Caenorhabditis elegans: one gene and its partners. The protein of the gene in region 1 binds, or shares a complex with, the protein of each later gene. Each region holds a gene or a part of one and is shown in the gene's direction. Other genes may lie near its edges. The genes, in order: crn-3, exos-2 and dis-3.

Region 1 (7,216 bases):
TACCGTATTTCTGGAGCAAAAATAGAAAATCTTCGCGCTTTAGAATTATCTATATTCTTCTTATTACAGGACAGCTGGAATCTTCTGCGTCGCTTTCTCCACTATGGTTGGCTGGCCGTTCTCTGCTGTCTTGGGGCTTCCGATTGTTGCCGATATGCTTTTATTGAAAGGATTAAGAATTAGATTTATTCTGACATCGTTAGTGATTGGATTATGTATTGGTGGTGTGCAGGTTATTACTGATAGTCATTATTTTGGAAAGACTGTTTTGGTAAGTAAATTTAATTTCTAAAATTTAAATTCTAAGTTAATTAAATCCTTTAAGGCCCCATTAAACATCTTCCTCTACAACGTTGTCAGTGGTCCTGGTCCATCACTTTACGGAGAAGAACCGCTCTCTTTCTACATCAAAAATCTCTTCAACAACTGGAATATCGTCATATTTGCTGCTCCATTTGGCTTTCCTCTGTCTCTTGCCTATTTCACAAAAGTCTGGATGTCTCAGGATAGAAACGTGGCACTCTATCAAAGATTTGCACCAATCATCCTATTGGCTGTCACCACTGCCGCATGGCTTTTGATTTTTGGAAGTCAAGCTCATAAAGAAGAACGTTTCCTATTCCCAATTTATCCATTCATTGCTTTCTTCGCTGCTCTTGCATTGGATGCCACGAATCGACTGTGTCTCAAGAAATTAGGAATGGATAATATTCTCAGCATTCTCTTCATTTTGTGCTTTGCAATTCTCTCGGCATCAAGGACGTACTCAATTCATAACAATTATGGATCTCACGTTGAGATTTATCGATCTCTGAACGCAGAGCTGACGAATCGGACGAATTTCAAAAATTTCCATGTAAGAGTTTTATAAATTTCAATGTTTTTATTTTTTCGAAAACTCCCAGTTGTTCAGGATCCAATTCGTGTATGCGTTGGAAAAGAATGGCACCGCTTCCCTTCATCGTTCTTCATTCCACAAACAGTTTCTGATGGGAAAAAAGTGGAAATGCGATTTATTCAAAGTGAATTCCGCGGACTTTTACCTAAACCATTCTTAAAATCGGACAAGTTGGTGGAAGTTACACGTCATATACCAACAGAAATGAATAATCTGAATCAAGAAGAAATATCGAGATATGTGGATTTAGATTCATGCGATTATGTGGTTGATGTTGATATGCCACAGTCGGATAGAGAACCTGATTTCAGGAAAATGGTAGGGGTTTTGAATATGGAGAAACGTAAATGGAGATTTTATTTCAAAAAAAAAATCATCTCAAATTCAGCGACAAAACTACAAAAGAAAAACAAAAAAAAAATGGAAAAGAATTGAAAACGCGATTCTACAATTTTGGCTAAATTCCCTGTTTGAGGAAATCAAATTTTTAAATTCAAATTTTCATTCTTTCCCATTTTTTTTCGTTTTTGACAATTTTGGATTATTTCAAGCATACTCACACTACTCCTTCCTGTAGAAATGTTCTTAATATATAATTGTAAATTCATATCTATTTTTAGGAAGATAACTGGAAACCAGTGGATTCGCTTCCATTCATCGATGTCTCCAAATCAACAGGATTCCATGGGCTTCTTCGTGCATTTTATGTTCCATTCCTTTCTGCCAAACATAATGTCATGACGACATGCACTTTATATCGAAAATCAAATTTGTAAAACATGTATTAAATATTTATTGTTCACTTTGTCTGAACGGAATTCAGATTCAGGGATTCCGATTTCATGTTAATTTCGGGTTTTTTCTTTTAGGTCACCTTCTTTAAATTTAATTTATTCTTCTTATTTATTGCCTGGAAATTTTTAAAATTTGTATTTATCGTTAATATTATTTATTACCAAGAAATATTTTTTTTACAATTTATTCTCATTTATTGTTTTTCTTTTCTTGGTTTCAAGTCAACGATTTATTATTTTTCTTGATTTTTTTCTAAACTTTCGTTTCTCAAGTTCAAAGAAAATTTACAGAATGTCAGGAGAAGAATCAATGCCCGATGAAGAGCAGAAGCAATCTGAGGAAGAAGAGGAAATGATAAGAAAAAGAACGTTAGCGATGAGGAAAAAAGTCGAAGAAATTATGAGAAATGGCGCCGGGCTTGTTCGTGAATCAAATGGTTTGCCGAAAGCTGGTGCGGATTATGAGCTCTACAACTCGTATCCGACATTCAACACGTTTATGAAGCGATCCGAGCAGAGATTGAATGCACTGTGAGTTGAGCGTCTGAATCCGAAAAAGCTCCGGAAAATTAAAAAAAAATTTAATCGACATTTTTTTAAGCCAAAAACACCAAAAAACATTTTTTTTTCTCCAGAAACACAAAAAAAAAGAAACTTTATTTCAAAAAGCTTAAATATTTTCATCAAACATGCATTTTAAGTTTTAAATTTTGAAGTTATTTTGGAAAAAAACTTTAAAAAAAATTATTCGCCAAAAACTACAAAAAAACTACAAAAAATTTCAAAAAATCGAAAAACGAAAAATTTTCGATTTTTTTTCAATAGAAAATTTTCCGTTTTTTCGATTTTCCGCTATTTCGAGATTTTTAAAAAATTAGCTTTAAAATTTGGTATTTTTGCTTCTTTTTAGAAGAAATTGTCATGTTTTTTCTCATCAATATAAACTAAATTATTTGAAATAAATCATATTTTATGGTGAATTTTTTGAACTTTTTTTTTTGAGTTTTAGGAAAATCGAAAAAAAAAACGAACATTTTTGGCTTTTCTATTTTAAGTTAAAAACATCGAAAAAATCGGAAAACGACATTCTTGGCAGGGCCATGTTCAGAGAAAATTTCATTTAAAAACAAAAAACTTGAAATTCCATATTTTCAGCATGAACAAAGTCACCAAGTCAATAGGATGTGCAATGCGAGTTCCAGATGTCGGTTCATCAGTCGAACATTACACAGAATGTGTTATCGAGGCTCAGGACAACATTGCAGAACGTGCAGCAACTCTCCATGAAGCGCTGAAAAAAGCCGAGCTAGATGAGATAGTCAAAGTTCCAGAATTCATTACAAAAGCCGCCCCAACAAATCGAAAAACCGAAGCAGAAGTTTCAGCGGCAATGAGAACGTTTTCAGCGAATATTGGAACGGTTTTGGCGGAGAAGTTTAGAGAACGAAGAGAAGAAGCTGCTCAGATGGTTGTGTTGGAAAAACCACAGAAGACGTATAACATCAGTTCGGACAACTCACAAGCTCCTTTTTCTTCTAAATTGACTGTTAAACATCATGCCATTGAAAAACGAACGGGTATTGTTCTCCACGATGACGATGAGTCTGGAAGAAGAGATTGGATAAGTGCTGAAACAGAAACTGAAGAGGAACATCCATATATCGCTGAAATTCTTCACTTCAAAGTTCCAGAAGCTCAGCTGAAATCTGCAGAGTGTTTAAAATTCACAGCATTGAAGGATACTCCATTGACAATGATTGATACTAAGGAGAAGCTTGAAGCATTAACGAAAACTTTGAATTCTGTAAAAGAGTTCGCAGTCGACTTGGAGCATCACCAAATGCGATCGTATCTTGGATTGACCTGCCTTATTCAAATTTCAACAAGAGATGAAGACTTTATCATTGATCCCTTCCCAATATGGGATCATGTTGGAATGCTCAATGAGCCATTTGCAAATCCACGTATTCTCAAAGTTTTTCACGGTTCTGACAGTGATGTTCTCTGGCTACAAAGGGATTATGGAGTTCATGTTGTTAATTTATTTGATACATATGTTGCCATGAAAAAGCTGAAGTATCCTAAATTCAGTCTTGCCTACCTCACTCTCCGATTTGCCGACGTTGTTCTGGACAAACAATATCAACTGGCTGACTGGAGAGCACGGCCTCTACGAAATGCGATGATAAACTACGCGAGAGAGGATACTCATTACCTTTTGTATAGTTATGATATGCTCCGAGAGCAACTTCTGAAACAAGATACCAAGGATTTGGCCAACGTCTACTCAGAGTCTAGCGATCTTTGCATAAAAGTATACAAGAAACCAGTGTTCAATCCGAAAGGATATTTGACGGAAATAAAATTCCGATTCACACTGAATACTCGACAGGACTATGCACTTACACATCTTTTCAAATGGAGAGATGTAGTAGCTAGAGCAGAAGATGAGAGCCCACATTTTGTACTTCCAAATCATATGATGCTATCACTTTCTGAGACATTACCACGAGATGTTGGAGGTATCTACGCGTGTTGTAACCCGTTACCGTACTTTGTGAAACAGCGAACTGGTGATATTTTGAAGTAAGTTTTGAGAATTGTGGGAGTCCCAGCATTTTCCGAAAAATGAAAATTTCGTAAATATAAGCTCCGGGACTCAAAAGACCTCATAATAAATATTCTAATTATAAAATTACAGAATAATTGTGGAGGCCAGAGATGTGAAGCTTGAGAAAGTGGGATTGTCGGCGAAAGAAAGAAATGATGCACAGGAAGCACGAGGTGTAATGAACGATACTATGGATCATATCACTTCAGTTTTAAAATCAAAAATCGACTTTTCACACACTAGATTTGACGAAGAACGCGGAGAAATTTATATTGATAAGACAGATGAAGGAATGGATATCGAGCTGAAAGATCATAAAGAATCATTGTTATCAGTGCTCCAAACGGCTGAAATTCCAAGTGTGGAAACTATGATTGTTGTGGAAAAAGGAAAGAAATCGGATAATCAGAAAGTTAAAAAGTTGTTGAATGAACTTGACAAATTTGTAACTCCATTTGAATGTTATCAAATGATGATGATTACAAAAGAAAAGCAAGAAGAAGAAGAGAGAAAAGAGGCTGAGAGAAAGAAATTGGAGGAAGGTGATCTACCGAAGACTATGTTCTCACATCATGATGCTCCGATTAATAGAAAACCTGAATTCGATGCGAAGGTTGGTAGATATAATGAAATCTGAAAAAAATCGTTTTTTTTTTTGGGAAAAACCGAAAAAAAATGTCTGAAAAGAAAATTCCAAAATCGGTATTGCTCATACGGAATTCAGAGATTGCTTTATTCTTAAAAAAAAATTTTCGGCGGAAAAACGTACAGATTTGATAGAAAATTTTTTTTTTTCGATTTTCTCTGAAAAAAATTTAGTAAAAAAACTTTAAAAAAAAATTATCTGAAAAAATCACTAAAATCTTTTTTTAATTTTCTCTGAAAAAATAAATAAAAATGAATTTTTTTTCGATTTTCTCTGAAAAAATCAGAAAATAAAACTTCTTTTTTTTCGATTTTCTCAAAAAAAAAATAAATGAAAAAAAATATATTTAAAAATTCCGATGACATCCTTGGTTTTAATAAGATAATTTTCAGCTTCTAAACGTTGATACACTGAAGCTGGTCCCAGATGATCCGAACAAGCCGAAAGATCCAGAACCTTCACCAATGGAAGAATCTTCATCGGAACCTCAAATCTTCGATCCATCTCGTTTTACCGACGACCAGCTACTGTCAAAGAAGGCAATGAAAAGAAAGAGAGATGCTGCTCGACGAAATATAGATGTTTCTGTTGTGCTCGGCGAGTCGTCGAGTAGTTCAGATCCAAAAAAGAAAAAATCTGATGATGATGCTCCCGTTGAAGATTTTGATTATGAAAAAGCTGATAGTAGTGCATTTGGTAAGTTATATTCCTTTGAATTATCCAGACGCGAGATTTAAGGCTAAAAATACGGTACCAGGTCGCGACAACTTGCAAAATGGTGTGCGCCTTTGAAGAGTACTGTAGTTTCAAATTTTCGTTACTGGGAAATTTTCTTCGGTTTTATTTTAGTTTTTTAATAAATAAATTTAAAACTAAAAAAAATTCCGCAGCAACAAAAGTTTGAAATTACAGTACTCTTTAAAGGAGCACACCAGGGCTGGGACAAAAAATATTTTTGAACAAAAAACCAAAATTGAAATTTACGAATTTGCGAAAAACGAACAAAAACCAAAAAAAGTTGATGCTTGAATTTATTTTTCAAAAAAATCGTGAATATGTGAAAATGTATTGGTTTTTCAAAAAATATTTTTGTTGGTCTGAAAAAAAAAACAAAAAAATCAATTTTTCGTCAAAATACAAGAAATATTTCAATTTTTGTTGAATTCCAACAAAAAAACCCAAAAAAAAATCAATGTTATTCGTCGAAGTGCCAATAAAAGCTATTAAAAAACCCAAAAAAAAAAATTCAAAATACCAAAAAAAAACACCAAAAAATCAATTTTTCGTTAAATTCCAAAAAGAACCGCAAATTTGCAAAAAAAAAACGTTTTCTGGCTCAAAATTTGGATAATACCGTACCCAATTATATAGCTCTCAAAAAAGTCTCGAAATCAAATTCCTAATAAATTATTTCCAGAAAAACCTGTTCGAGACAACAACGCCGATTTCGATCCATTCCATCAAAAATATCGATTGAAGAACAAGACAAAGAAGAATATGGCTATGAAAAAATCATCGAATCGACAAGGAACCATCAACTACAAAAAATGATTAAATTGTTACATCCCATCCCATTACCATTGTTATTTTACTTTTTGTTGTTGTGCTTTTTCTTTTGCTTTGAAATTAAAGAAAACTGTTTTTGAAATCTTTTTATTTATTTATTTTTAATTCAATTTGGTTTTCCACCAATTTCAGTTATATTTTCTACAAAATTCATTTTTGTGATTAATTTTGATTTCAGATATCCCCAAATGGCCGGCAGACTTCGTGAAATGCGTTGTGAGCTCTCGTTCCTCAAAAACGCGGATGGCTCGGCATGCTTCTCCCAGGGTGCCACGTGTATTTGGGCTTCATGCAGTGGTCCTGGAGATGTTCACGCTTCGAAAGCAAGTGATGAGGCTATGACTCTGGATATTAGTTATAGAGCAAATTGTGGAGATAACAAGTTCAATGTGGTAGGGGTTTTTGTAGAAATTACTTTTGGAATAATTCTTTTTTCAGCTGAACAATATCATTCATTCTACTCTATCCAATGCAATCAATCTCGAATTGTTTCCCCACACAACAATTTCTGTCACAGTACATGGAATTCAGGATGATGGAAGTATGGGAGCTGTAGCGATAAATGGAGCTTGTTTTGCTCTACTTGACAATGGAATGCCATTCGAGTAAGTTTTTTTAGATACTGTTTTAAAACTGTAATATAATTTTTCAGAACAGTCTTCTGTGGTGTCCTTATTGTTCGTGTCAAAGATGAGCTGATT
Region 2 (4,405 bases), on another chromosome or scaffold:
CCGTTTCTCAGTCTCTTTTAAACGAAGATGTGGGCGGAGTCTCGGGGTAGGAAGAAATTAGAATTTTTGTTAGAGTCTGTCTCTAGAATTGATGAATAAAAATTTAAAATTCCCCCGGATCTTGGAATCAACGCAAAAAAATATAAAAGATTCTGTAAGAAATTTCTTTAAAATATTAATTTCAAATTCGCCGCGATTTGCGAAGTCAATGGAGGAGTACGGTAGGCGTGTGAAAATGACGGAAGATGAGTGAAAAGAAGTATATTCAAATAATTAATGAAAGCTTTTGATCTGTCCATTTGTCATCGAAAAACACCCGTCCGTCCACCCACATTTTTCGCCGAATTTTTGTGGGAAATTAAGGGCTCTGATAATGCAAATTATGGATAATTTTGTATAAAGTTTTCTAGACATTGGTTAGCGATTTTAAAACTACGAAAAAATGAAATGACAAAATAAATAAGTACTTGCACCTGACTATCATACTTTAACAGCTCATATCTCAATTCATTCAAAACAGTTTACAAACTGTAAAATTGATAAATTTTAGAAAATTAAATAATCAATAAGTTGCCAGTTGACAGTTGTTCAAAAATTTAAAGACAACCAAGTTATAACTTCTAAAATTAATCAATGCCTCGATGTATTAGATACAATATTTTGAAAACATTGTTTTCGATGAACCACAATTTTGTAAATAGTGTATCAGAAACAGTGTTTTTTTTTTTCGATTTTTTACAAATTTTTCTGGGAGCTTTTGTAAGACTCCTACTACTATTTTTATGGGAAATTTTAGAAAAGTAAATAGTCAATTAGTTGTCAGTTAACAATTTTTGATATAAAACAAAAAATAAAAAATGAGCTTCGAATATGGAGCAAGTGTACAACTGCTAGAAAAATATGTGGACCTTTCTTTTGCGACACATTCTTTTTAGGAAATTTGCACTGTTCTGTGAAAGATTTCAATCTGAAATATGAATAGAACAGAAGAAATAATATTGATTTTCCTGAAATTAACCGAATGTTTAGTTGAAGTTCTTGAGAAGTTGTTCAAATACTGGCTCAATTACAATATTCCGGGTACATATGCATTTTTAATAACTTTTAACGAAATTTAAGAATAATATCAAAAATATGTTTCAATACTTCTCATAAAACTCTCAATCAAAATAAGAAATACCAATTCGAAAATTCGAACATTGTTAATCAGAAAATGGTAACTTTATAAATGTTTTTTCAGAAACATTGATTTTTTTTCAATTTTTTCAAAATTTCAAAACTTTTTTCTAAGAGTTCCACATGACCGTCTACCGTCTGAAAATGTTTTTTTTTTAATTTTTAGATGGAGAAGAATACTTTTACAGTCAACCTAAATAAAAAAGAGTACATAAACCCGCAAAATCGGAATCTAGGAAATATTTAAAAATCGCACAATAAACCACCAAAGTTTTGAAAATTTTTCCTTTACGATTTTTACTTCTGTTTTAAATACTCAGTTTTTCTCCAATATATTTCTACGTATCCTCTTTTGTTGTATTTTTCCCGTTCGCATGCAAGTCGAAATTATAGGTGTCCCATTCAACTCACACTTCCTTCCAATGACACCTTTATAAAAAGTCAGACAATGGCTTCGTGTCGAACCTTATTTTTATTTCAATTTCGGGTTTTCATCGTCATTGGTTTAGCAGAAACAATTAAATTTGCACGCTCAATTGGCTCGCACTTTTATGGTCGAAAATCAACATTTGAATAGGCGCCAATTGAGTGACGTGTGGGTTTACGATAAACAGCACGCTTTCCGTCATTTCGGAGTGTCGTTGGAAATAATTATTTTTATTTTCATTTCGAATGAAAGCTTTTTTCAGTTTCTTTGTTTAATTTAAGTTTATTTAAATTTGGTTATTTGCAGACAAAAAAAATTTAAAAAATGAGTTTCGAAGTCACCGGTCCACCCCTCGTATCACCATGGATGATGTTATCAATGTCCGAAGCAAGAAATGATATTGATGAGACAAAAATTGTTATTCCAGGACATTCAGTTTGTGATGCACCGCAACAGTTTATGAGGTATGTATATTGTAAAATACTGTTATATCTTTTTGAAAAATGAAAAAATTAAGATTTTCAGAGGACATGGAACTTACGTTCGCGACGGAGAAATCGTCAGTTCTCTCTCTGGAGTCGTTCAACAATTAAATCGACTGTTGATGGTTAAAACTATTAAACAACGATATGCTGGTGAAGTCGGAGATGTTGTAGTTGCCCGTGTCGTGGAGGTTCAAGCAAAACGGTGGAAGGTTTCAAATTTTTAAGTGAAAAATATAACGATAATTGTTTTTCAGTGTGATGTGGCATCTCGTCTTCATGCAAATCTTCCACTAGGTTCAGTTCTCCTGCCAGGAGGAGACTTTCGCAGAAAAGATGTAGAAGATGAGGAGAAAATGAGCGAATTCTTGAAAAACGGAGAACTGATCTGTGCAGAAGTCCAACAAGTCCAGCACGACGGAACACTTATGCTACACACAAGAAATAATAAGTACGGAAAATTGCAACAAGGAATATTGATTAAGGTAATATTTTATAAAATCTTAAGAAAACGCAATTATAAATTTTTAAATAATAGTTCGGAAAGTTGTTATATTTCTTTAAATTCATCATCCAATTGATTCCAATTAGCTCACGTACGGCGTCTTGCTCTAAAAGCCTCAGAAGTTTTATTCAATTCTCGATCTCTGTACTCAATCACAGGATCTTGATCCTTCTTTGCAGTTGGATGCAGTTCAACAGTCTCGACGCCATAACGAAGAATACAAAAAATTACAAGCAACGCAGCAATGAGAATCCATTGTGTATAAGCACGCCATTCGGGAATTGGGCTCTTTAATAATAATTTTCTATTTCAAAAAAAATTAATGAAAAGCTAACCTCCGTGATAACCATATTTGCACGTTCATCGAGTCGGTAGATCATTGAATCGAGCACTTTTGTACGAATATCCTCCGCCTTTTCAAAGTGTTGAGTTTTCTCATTCTTATGCGACATCTCGTTCAAAGCAATATTTCTTTTTTGTTTATGCTGCCAAAATAAATAAAGCGACAAAAAAATCCACAAAATGAGTGGGAAGTCACGGAATTAATTTCTTTTTTTTGCAGGTTCCTCCACATTTGATCAAAAAGTCCAAGAAACATTTTCACACGTTACCCTACGGAATGGCTGTGATTATTGGCTGCAACGGAAGTGTGTGGGTCACGCCGTCGTTGCCGGAGACCACACTTGAAGAGGATGGATCACATGTTCACGAGTTTCAGGTGTGATAGTGATTCTTGAGAAAAATGAATCGAAAATAACAATTAGCGCACATATTTGGTGACTCAACAACGAGAAATTATAATAATTCCAATGATTGACGAGACCTTATAATTTATTCATCATACTCGTGATCATCATAATCGAAAAGAAAAACAAAAAAATTTGGCTTTTTTCGCAATAAAATAAATTTCAGATTGTACCTCCCGACGTACGCGTAACTATGGTCAGAATCGCTGCCTGTGTTCGTCTTCTTCGTGATTATTCCATCTCGATCTACCTCAATTCACTGACAACATGCTATGAAATGAGTCAGCCTTATGAAGTATCGATTGTTTCTTCAGTTTTAAAAAATTAGAAAAATAATTTCAGATCAAAGAGCTCGCCGAGCAAGACACGTCTTCTCGACTCGCCTACCTGATTGCTGCACGGCTTCTACAGGAACTTCAACAGCAGAAGTAATTCTAATTGTTTTGAATGATCTCTCCCTATTTAAAATTTACCTTTTTTGTTGCTGTTATTTCTTGTTGAGTTTCTTATTTACCATTTCAATTAAATAAAACTTTTTACTTTTTCGGATGATATTAGCTGCGATACAAAATCTGAAAGTTTCGAAAGAAATGGTCCATACCCTGAAATTAAACGATCGACCCGTAATCTTTGCAAACCCAAGGTCGCACAGAAATTTTTTTGATCTAGGAATTGTTTCAATTGAACTCCACATTCTAACTTAATGACCGAACAATTTCAGTGAATATACTTCGATTCACACTATCCGCTTTTCAATCCACCAAGTGAGAATCGAGACGATTTTCTGGAAAGTGTTTATTGTGATTCAAAAAAAACCAGGAAGAATTGAAACATTGACCAGAGGAAAACAACAAAAAGGAAAAGAGAGAGCAGGCATGGGACAGACATTCAGTGAAAGCTCAAAAATTATGCTGCTAATTAGCAGACTTCTAACCTAAAAGGATGCATATGAGGTGTTGGGCACAGTAAAAATGGGAAAATATAACAAAGGATCGAATGGTAAACGAGGATCGGATGAACGTTTCATAGAAAACAATGTGAAGTTAATTCGAACTTCTAATTCTCGATG
Region 3 (4,787 bases), on another chromosome or scaffold:
AAGGTGATCAACTCATCGGCTCGTCGTATTGGATATGGTATCAAGACCACCAATATGAAGAGACTTGGAGTTGATCCACCATGTGGAGTTCTCGATCCAAAGGAAGCTGTGCTTCTTGCTGTTTCCTGCGATGCTTTCGCCTTCGGACAAGAGGATACCAACAACGACCGTATCACTGTTGAGTGGACCAACACCCCGGATGGAGCTGCCAAGCAATTCCGTCGTGAATGGTTCCAGGGAGACGGTATGGTTCGTCGCAAGAACCTTCCAATCGAGTACAATCCATAGGATGTGTGAACTGGGTTTCTTAACAATAAACTTTTTTCAAGTATATGTTCTGTTTTTCTGTTTTAATCTGCAAATTGAATATATATTAATACTCAAGCGAACAAGTTTTGTGTTCCATCGATGCCCTTAACATAAGCATCCGGGATTTATTGTAAATCGTTTGGAACTATAGTAATCCTACCTTAATCTTCCAGTAGTCATTCAGTTCAGAAGACTACCCAACCATACTACTAACCCAGCCCATCTCTCCAAAACCTGAAAGCTGTTTTGCTCCGTAAAGGTCGAGGAGGGTGTATTTTTCTTACAAATCAAAGAAATTAACAAGTGAACCGATCACAACTTTTTTTGCTGATATGAGAGAAAAATACTTTATTGATTGGTTCGAGTAAATTTTCGAATTTTCGAAAAAGGAAAGATCCCTGGTATATAATGTCTCAGCTCTGCTATGTATTTTTCTATTTGAAATTCCGAATTCAAATTTTCTCTAGATGAAAGCCTTGGTATTGAATTCTATGCTGGGTTTAGTAAATTTTCGAATTTTCGATAAAAATTATATAATGAAGAAAAATATCCAAATTGGAGGTATTTTAATTTTAGAATACGGGAACGAAGAAGATCAAGATCACATACAAAGTTTAATGGATCTGAAGACATTTCAATTTATCTGGGTAGAACCAATTCTTCAACTCCAAATTCTACAGTAACCGATTCTTAAACATCTTATGGAAGTCCATCGAGATATGTATTTCATTATCATGTTCTTACCCGTTTTTTTTCAATAATGAGATTCTATATTTCGCTTAATGTTTTTATTGTTCTTATTGCTTCCAAAAATTAACATTAAAACAATAAATATTTTGCATCTTGACAAATTTAACATTTTAAAGTCTGGTCAGATTTCATCCTTGAGGACAGTGCTGTGTCTACATACATGAAAAAAAATCAAAAAGTGGCGATTATTTAGTTTCATCCGCATTAAATTTTGTAAGACAAAAAAGTTTGGCAATTTACCAAATCTATGACTGAAAAATTTTCAAAAATCTAAAAACGTTTTGAGCATTATTTTTTAAGGTTATGAGGCCCTAGATAATCATGTTTCCTACCCGATTATCTATTTTAGATGTTTAAACTTCCGTTTTCATGATTTTAGCCATACTCTATTTAGATATATTCTTCCTTTTCATTTCATTTTTCCTCGCAGCTGCGATGGCAGTGTTGTTCGAAGTGTTCGTTTTCGTAGTGCCTACGACACTCCGATGTTCCACTCGCGCGTGTTGTTCACCGTAAATGTACACTGAGTTTTTCTTCGAATAAAATAGTTTTTCCTTCATTTTTCACCTGATTCGTGCGATTTTATTTGTTTTTCACACGTATTTTCATTATTTGAAGGTATGGATTTGAACGTCAAACAAAGTGGAATTCATTCCGTCGCTTTGCACACGACTTACTTCCAAAATCGCTCGGGGAAAGTCTATAAAGTGAGAAAACCTCTCCGAAATCACCTAACCCAATTAAAATTTTGCAGAGAGCCGAAGAAAGATATCTACGAAATGATCTTTCATGTGGACTTGCTCAATGTGGAACCTGCAAGGATTTCGGCACAAATCCGCTGTTAAAAATTGAAAATCCCGTAAGAAATGCGAAAGTTGGAAGGCACGCGCTGATTGTGGATTCCACATCATTAATCAGATTCTACGATTTGTTTGATTCGTCTTTATTGAGGTAATGAATTAAAATTACAGCGGAATCATTTAAATGTAGATGGTTCTACTGTCCAATTATTAAATTCTTAATTTGTTGCTCCAAATTCAGTTTTTAGAAGTTGTCGGGATTGTAACAAACATCTAGTTTCAATTAAAAACTCTGTAAAATAATAAATTATATTTAATTTTCAGAGATCTCATCGTAACCCAGACTGTATGGGAAGGAGTCAAAGCAAAAGCTGTACCAGCCTACAAGAAAATGAATTCTTTGTGTTATGAAGATGCGAAAGACAGATTTCACGTGTTCATGAACGAATTTCACTGCGAGACCTTCTCCGAATCATCGAAATTTGAGGATTTGAGTCGTGGCGAAGAGCTTCTACTTTCAACAGCTCTTTACTTGAAAACTCATTGGCAGAAGCATAACGTGGCTCCTGTTGTCTTAGTTTTTGATGAAGATTCGAAAAAAAGAATGGAAAATCACTACCAACACGTGATGTATTTAAAGGTTAATAGTCGAAAAGTTCAAAACTCTGTGGATCTTTTCTGAAACTGGCGAAATTTCGAAAAAGAGCCAAATTTTGTTAAAAGAAAATTTTTGATTTCTTAAGACTCATAATGAAATTCTGTCGTTCCGAGCTAGTTTCAGACTATTTCAGCCAAAAACCCTAAAATATACACCTCTTTAACATATTTTCGCCGTAACTAAACTTTTATTCAACTAAAAATCATGATCCTTAATCAAAAATTGTATAATAAAGTACAATAAAGTTTGAAAAATGATCCAGTAACCCCGTAGAAAAAGAAAAAATCTCCAAATTTTCAGGAATACATACAAAATTTGGAGGATCCAGGAAAACAAGCACTTTTGGATCAAATGGCTGCGTATGAAAGCTCTGGAAATGGAAATGAGAAACAAATTTTCGATGAATATCTATCGCATGATAGAATTATGGAGGGAATTGCCAGTGGAACGATCAAAAGAGGAAATTTCAGTGTTTCAAGAGAAAATTATCGCGAAGCTACTGTTATTATTGATGATCAGTTAACATCTTGGTTCATCACAGGTGCTTGAATTTAGTTGAAATATTTATTTTCGAAAACCAACCAAATTTTTCACACAAGTCATTACTTTTTGCTGAGAATTTTAAAAAAACTTTTTTATAACGAAATTAGGTGGTTTTCGGTCATTTTGAGCGAAACAACTCTGAAATTATATTTTTAAAAAAGGTGAAATTTTTCCAAAAATTCCAATTCTCTGAATAATAAAATTTTTATTTCGAATTTTAGGAAATAATTGCAATCGTGCCGTCAATGGAGATACCGTCGCAGTTCAACTTTTGCCAGAAGACCAATGGACTGCTCCAGAGAAGAAAATTCGACTCCGTGACGTTGAAGAATATGTTAAAACTGCAGATGACATGGGAAATGAAGACGAGGAGAATGATGACGAGAACGATGAGCCAAAAGCTAAAAAGTCGAAGAAAATGACTGTTTCAACTGCAAAAGTTGTTGGAATTATCAAAAGAAATTGGCGTGAATATTGTGGAATGTTGCTGCCAAGTACAGTGAAAGGAGCCAGAAGACACTTGTTCTGTCCAGCTGAACGACTTATTCCAAGAATTCGAATCGAGACGGAACAGGCTGAAACTTTATCACAGCAGAGAATTGTGGTGGCTATTGATCACTGGCCAAGAGATTCCAAGTATCCACTTGGACATTACGTCAGGTATGTGAAATTTCAGAAAATCTTGAAATATTTTAACGGAATGACTGTTGTTTTCAGATCAATCGGAGAGATGGGATCCCGTGAAACTGAAAATGAGGTTCTCCTTCTCGAACATGATATTCCACATGCTCCATTCTCAGAATCTGTTCTTGATTGTCTACCACGTGAAGAATGGGAACCAGATCTCACTGAAAACCGCGGCCCTCTACCACGTGTTGATTTGAGAGATTTAACAATTTGTTCAGTTGATCCACTTGGATGTACAGATATTGACGACGCATTACACTGTAAACAAATTGGAGAGGATCTTTTCGAAGTTGGAGTTCATATTGCAGATGTCACGCATTTTGTTAGACCAGGTAAATATACTGAAATTATTTAAAAATTCAAGTTTTACTAAAAAAAATGTTTGTCCTTTGAGGTTCGAATAAAACCTCATTTATTTTCAAAAAAAGAACCAAAATTTCCTACGTTTAGGAACCGCAATCGACGATGAAGCAGCATTACGTGGAACTACAGTATACCTTTGTGATCGTCGTATCGATATGCTTCCATGTCTGCTCAGTTCCAATTTGTGCTCACTTCGCGGAGAAGAAGAGCGTTATGCATTTTCGTGTATTTGGACAATGACTTCTAGTGCTGATATACAATCAGTTAAATATCACAAATCTCTAATTAAATCAAAAGCTGCATTGACTTATGAGAAGGCACAAGAGATTATTGACGATCCAAAAGAGCAGAATGACGTGGCATTGGGATTACGTGGATTGATGAAATTGTCGAAAGTTTTGAATGCGAGAAGAACTGGAAATGGAGCATTGACGTTGGCATCGAGTGAAGTTCGCTTTGATATGGATTGGGAGTCCAGAACACCAAAGGTTTAAAATTTAAAAAATATTACAAAAAAAAAAGTTATATTCAAATTCAAAGAAGAAATATATTTTATACAACAGAGCGACCTAGAAACTGATTTTCATTTAGATTATTACAGTAATCTCTCATTAGAGCGCGCTTGCGAAATTTCCAGTTCTTTTTTGCTAACTTTTAAACCATTTTAAACCAATAAA

The links.
Region 2: crn-3 (region 1) and exos-2 share a complex: the UniProt entries of both Caenorhabditis elegans proteins name them as parts of the RNA exosome complex.
Region 3: crn-3 (region 1) and dis-3 share a complex: the UniProt entries of both Caenorhabditis elegans proteins name them as parts of the RNA exosome complex.

What each region holds. Positions count from the first base shown.
Region 1 is NC_003280.10:10,586,059-10,593,274, forward strand, and holds crn-3 (Exosome complex component 10 homolog), read left to right. Parts: upstream 1-1,983; 5' UTR 1,984-1,984; coding exon 1,985-2,223; intron 2,224-2,847; coding exon 2,848-4,278; intron 4,279-4,393; coding exon 4,394-4,916; intron 4,917-5,341; coding exon 5,342-5,645; intron 5,646-6,366; coding exon 6,367-6,500; 3' UTR 6,501-6,594; downstream 6,595-7,216. Other genes in the region: Alpha-1,2-mannosyltransferase algn-9, read left to right, coding at 70-271, 326-856, 914-1,216, 1,519-1,674; crn-5 (Exosome complex component RRP46 homolog), read left to right, coding at 6,704-6,907, 6,954-7,120, 7,168-7,216. UniProt on the Caenorhabditis elegans protein: Catalytic component of the RNA exosome complex which has 3'->5' exoribonuclease activity and participates in a multitude of cellular RNA processing and degradation events. Involved in apoptotic DNA degradation.
Region 2 is NC_003282.8:6,413,576-6,417,980, forward strand, and holds exos-2 (Exosome complex component RRP4 homolog), read left to right. Parts: upstream 1-1,902; 5' UTR 1,903-1,927; coding exon 1,928-2,067; intron 2,068-2,128; coding exon 2,129-2,297; intron 2,298-2,342; coding exon 2,343-2,570; exon of another isoform or gene 2,571-2,677; coding exon of another isoform or gene 2,678-2,878; intron 2,879-2,925; coding exon of another isoform or gene 2,926-3,042; exon of another isoform or gene 3,043-3,078; intron 3,079-3,152; coding exon 3,153-3,308; intron 3,309-3,502; coding exon 3,503-3,631; intron 3,632-3,678; coding exon 3,679-3,768; 3' UTR 3,769-3,885; downstream 3,886-4,405. Other genes in the region: Y73B6BL.22 (Nitrogen regulatory IIA protein), read right to left, coding at 2,678-2,878, 2,926-3,042. UniProt on the Caenorhabditis elegans protein: Non-catalytic component of the RNA exosome complex which has 3'->5' exoribonuclease activity and participates in a multitude of cellular RNA processing and degradation events. Involved in regulation of antisense ribosomal siRNA production.
Region 3 is NC_003282.8:10,095,529-10,100,315, forward strand, and holds the start of dis-3 (putative exosome complex exonuclease RRP44), read left to right. Parts: upstream 1-1,673; 5' UTR 1,674-1,679; coding exon 1,680-1,766; intron 1,767-1,813; coding exon 1,814-2,010; intron 2,011-2,183; coding exon 2,184-2,499; intron 2,500-2,817; coding exon 2,818-3,058; intron 3,059-3,281; coding exon 3,282-3,720; intron 3,721-3,777; coding exon 3,778-4,079; intron 4,080-4,197; coding exon 4,198-4,598; intron 4,599-4,787. Other genes in the region: msp-36 (Major sperm protein 10/36/56/76), read left to right, coding at 1-288. UniProt on the Caenorhabditis elegans protein: Putative catalytic component of the RNA exosome complex which has 3'->5' exoribonuclease activity and participates in a multitude of cellular RNA processing and degradation events. Has both 3'-5' exonuclease and endonuclease activities.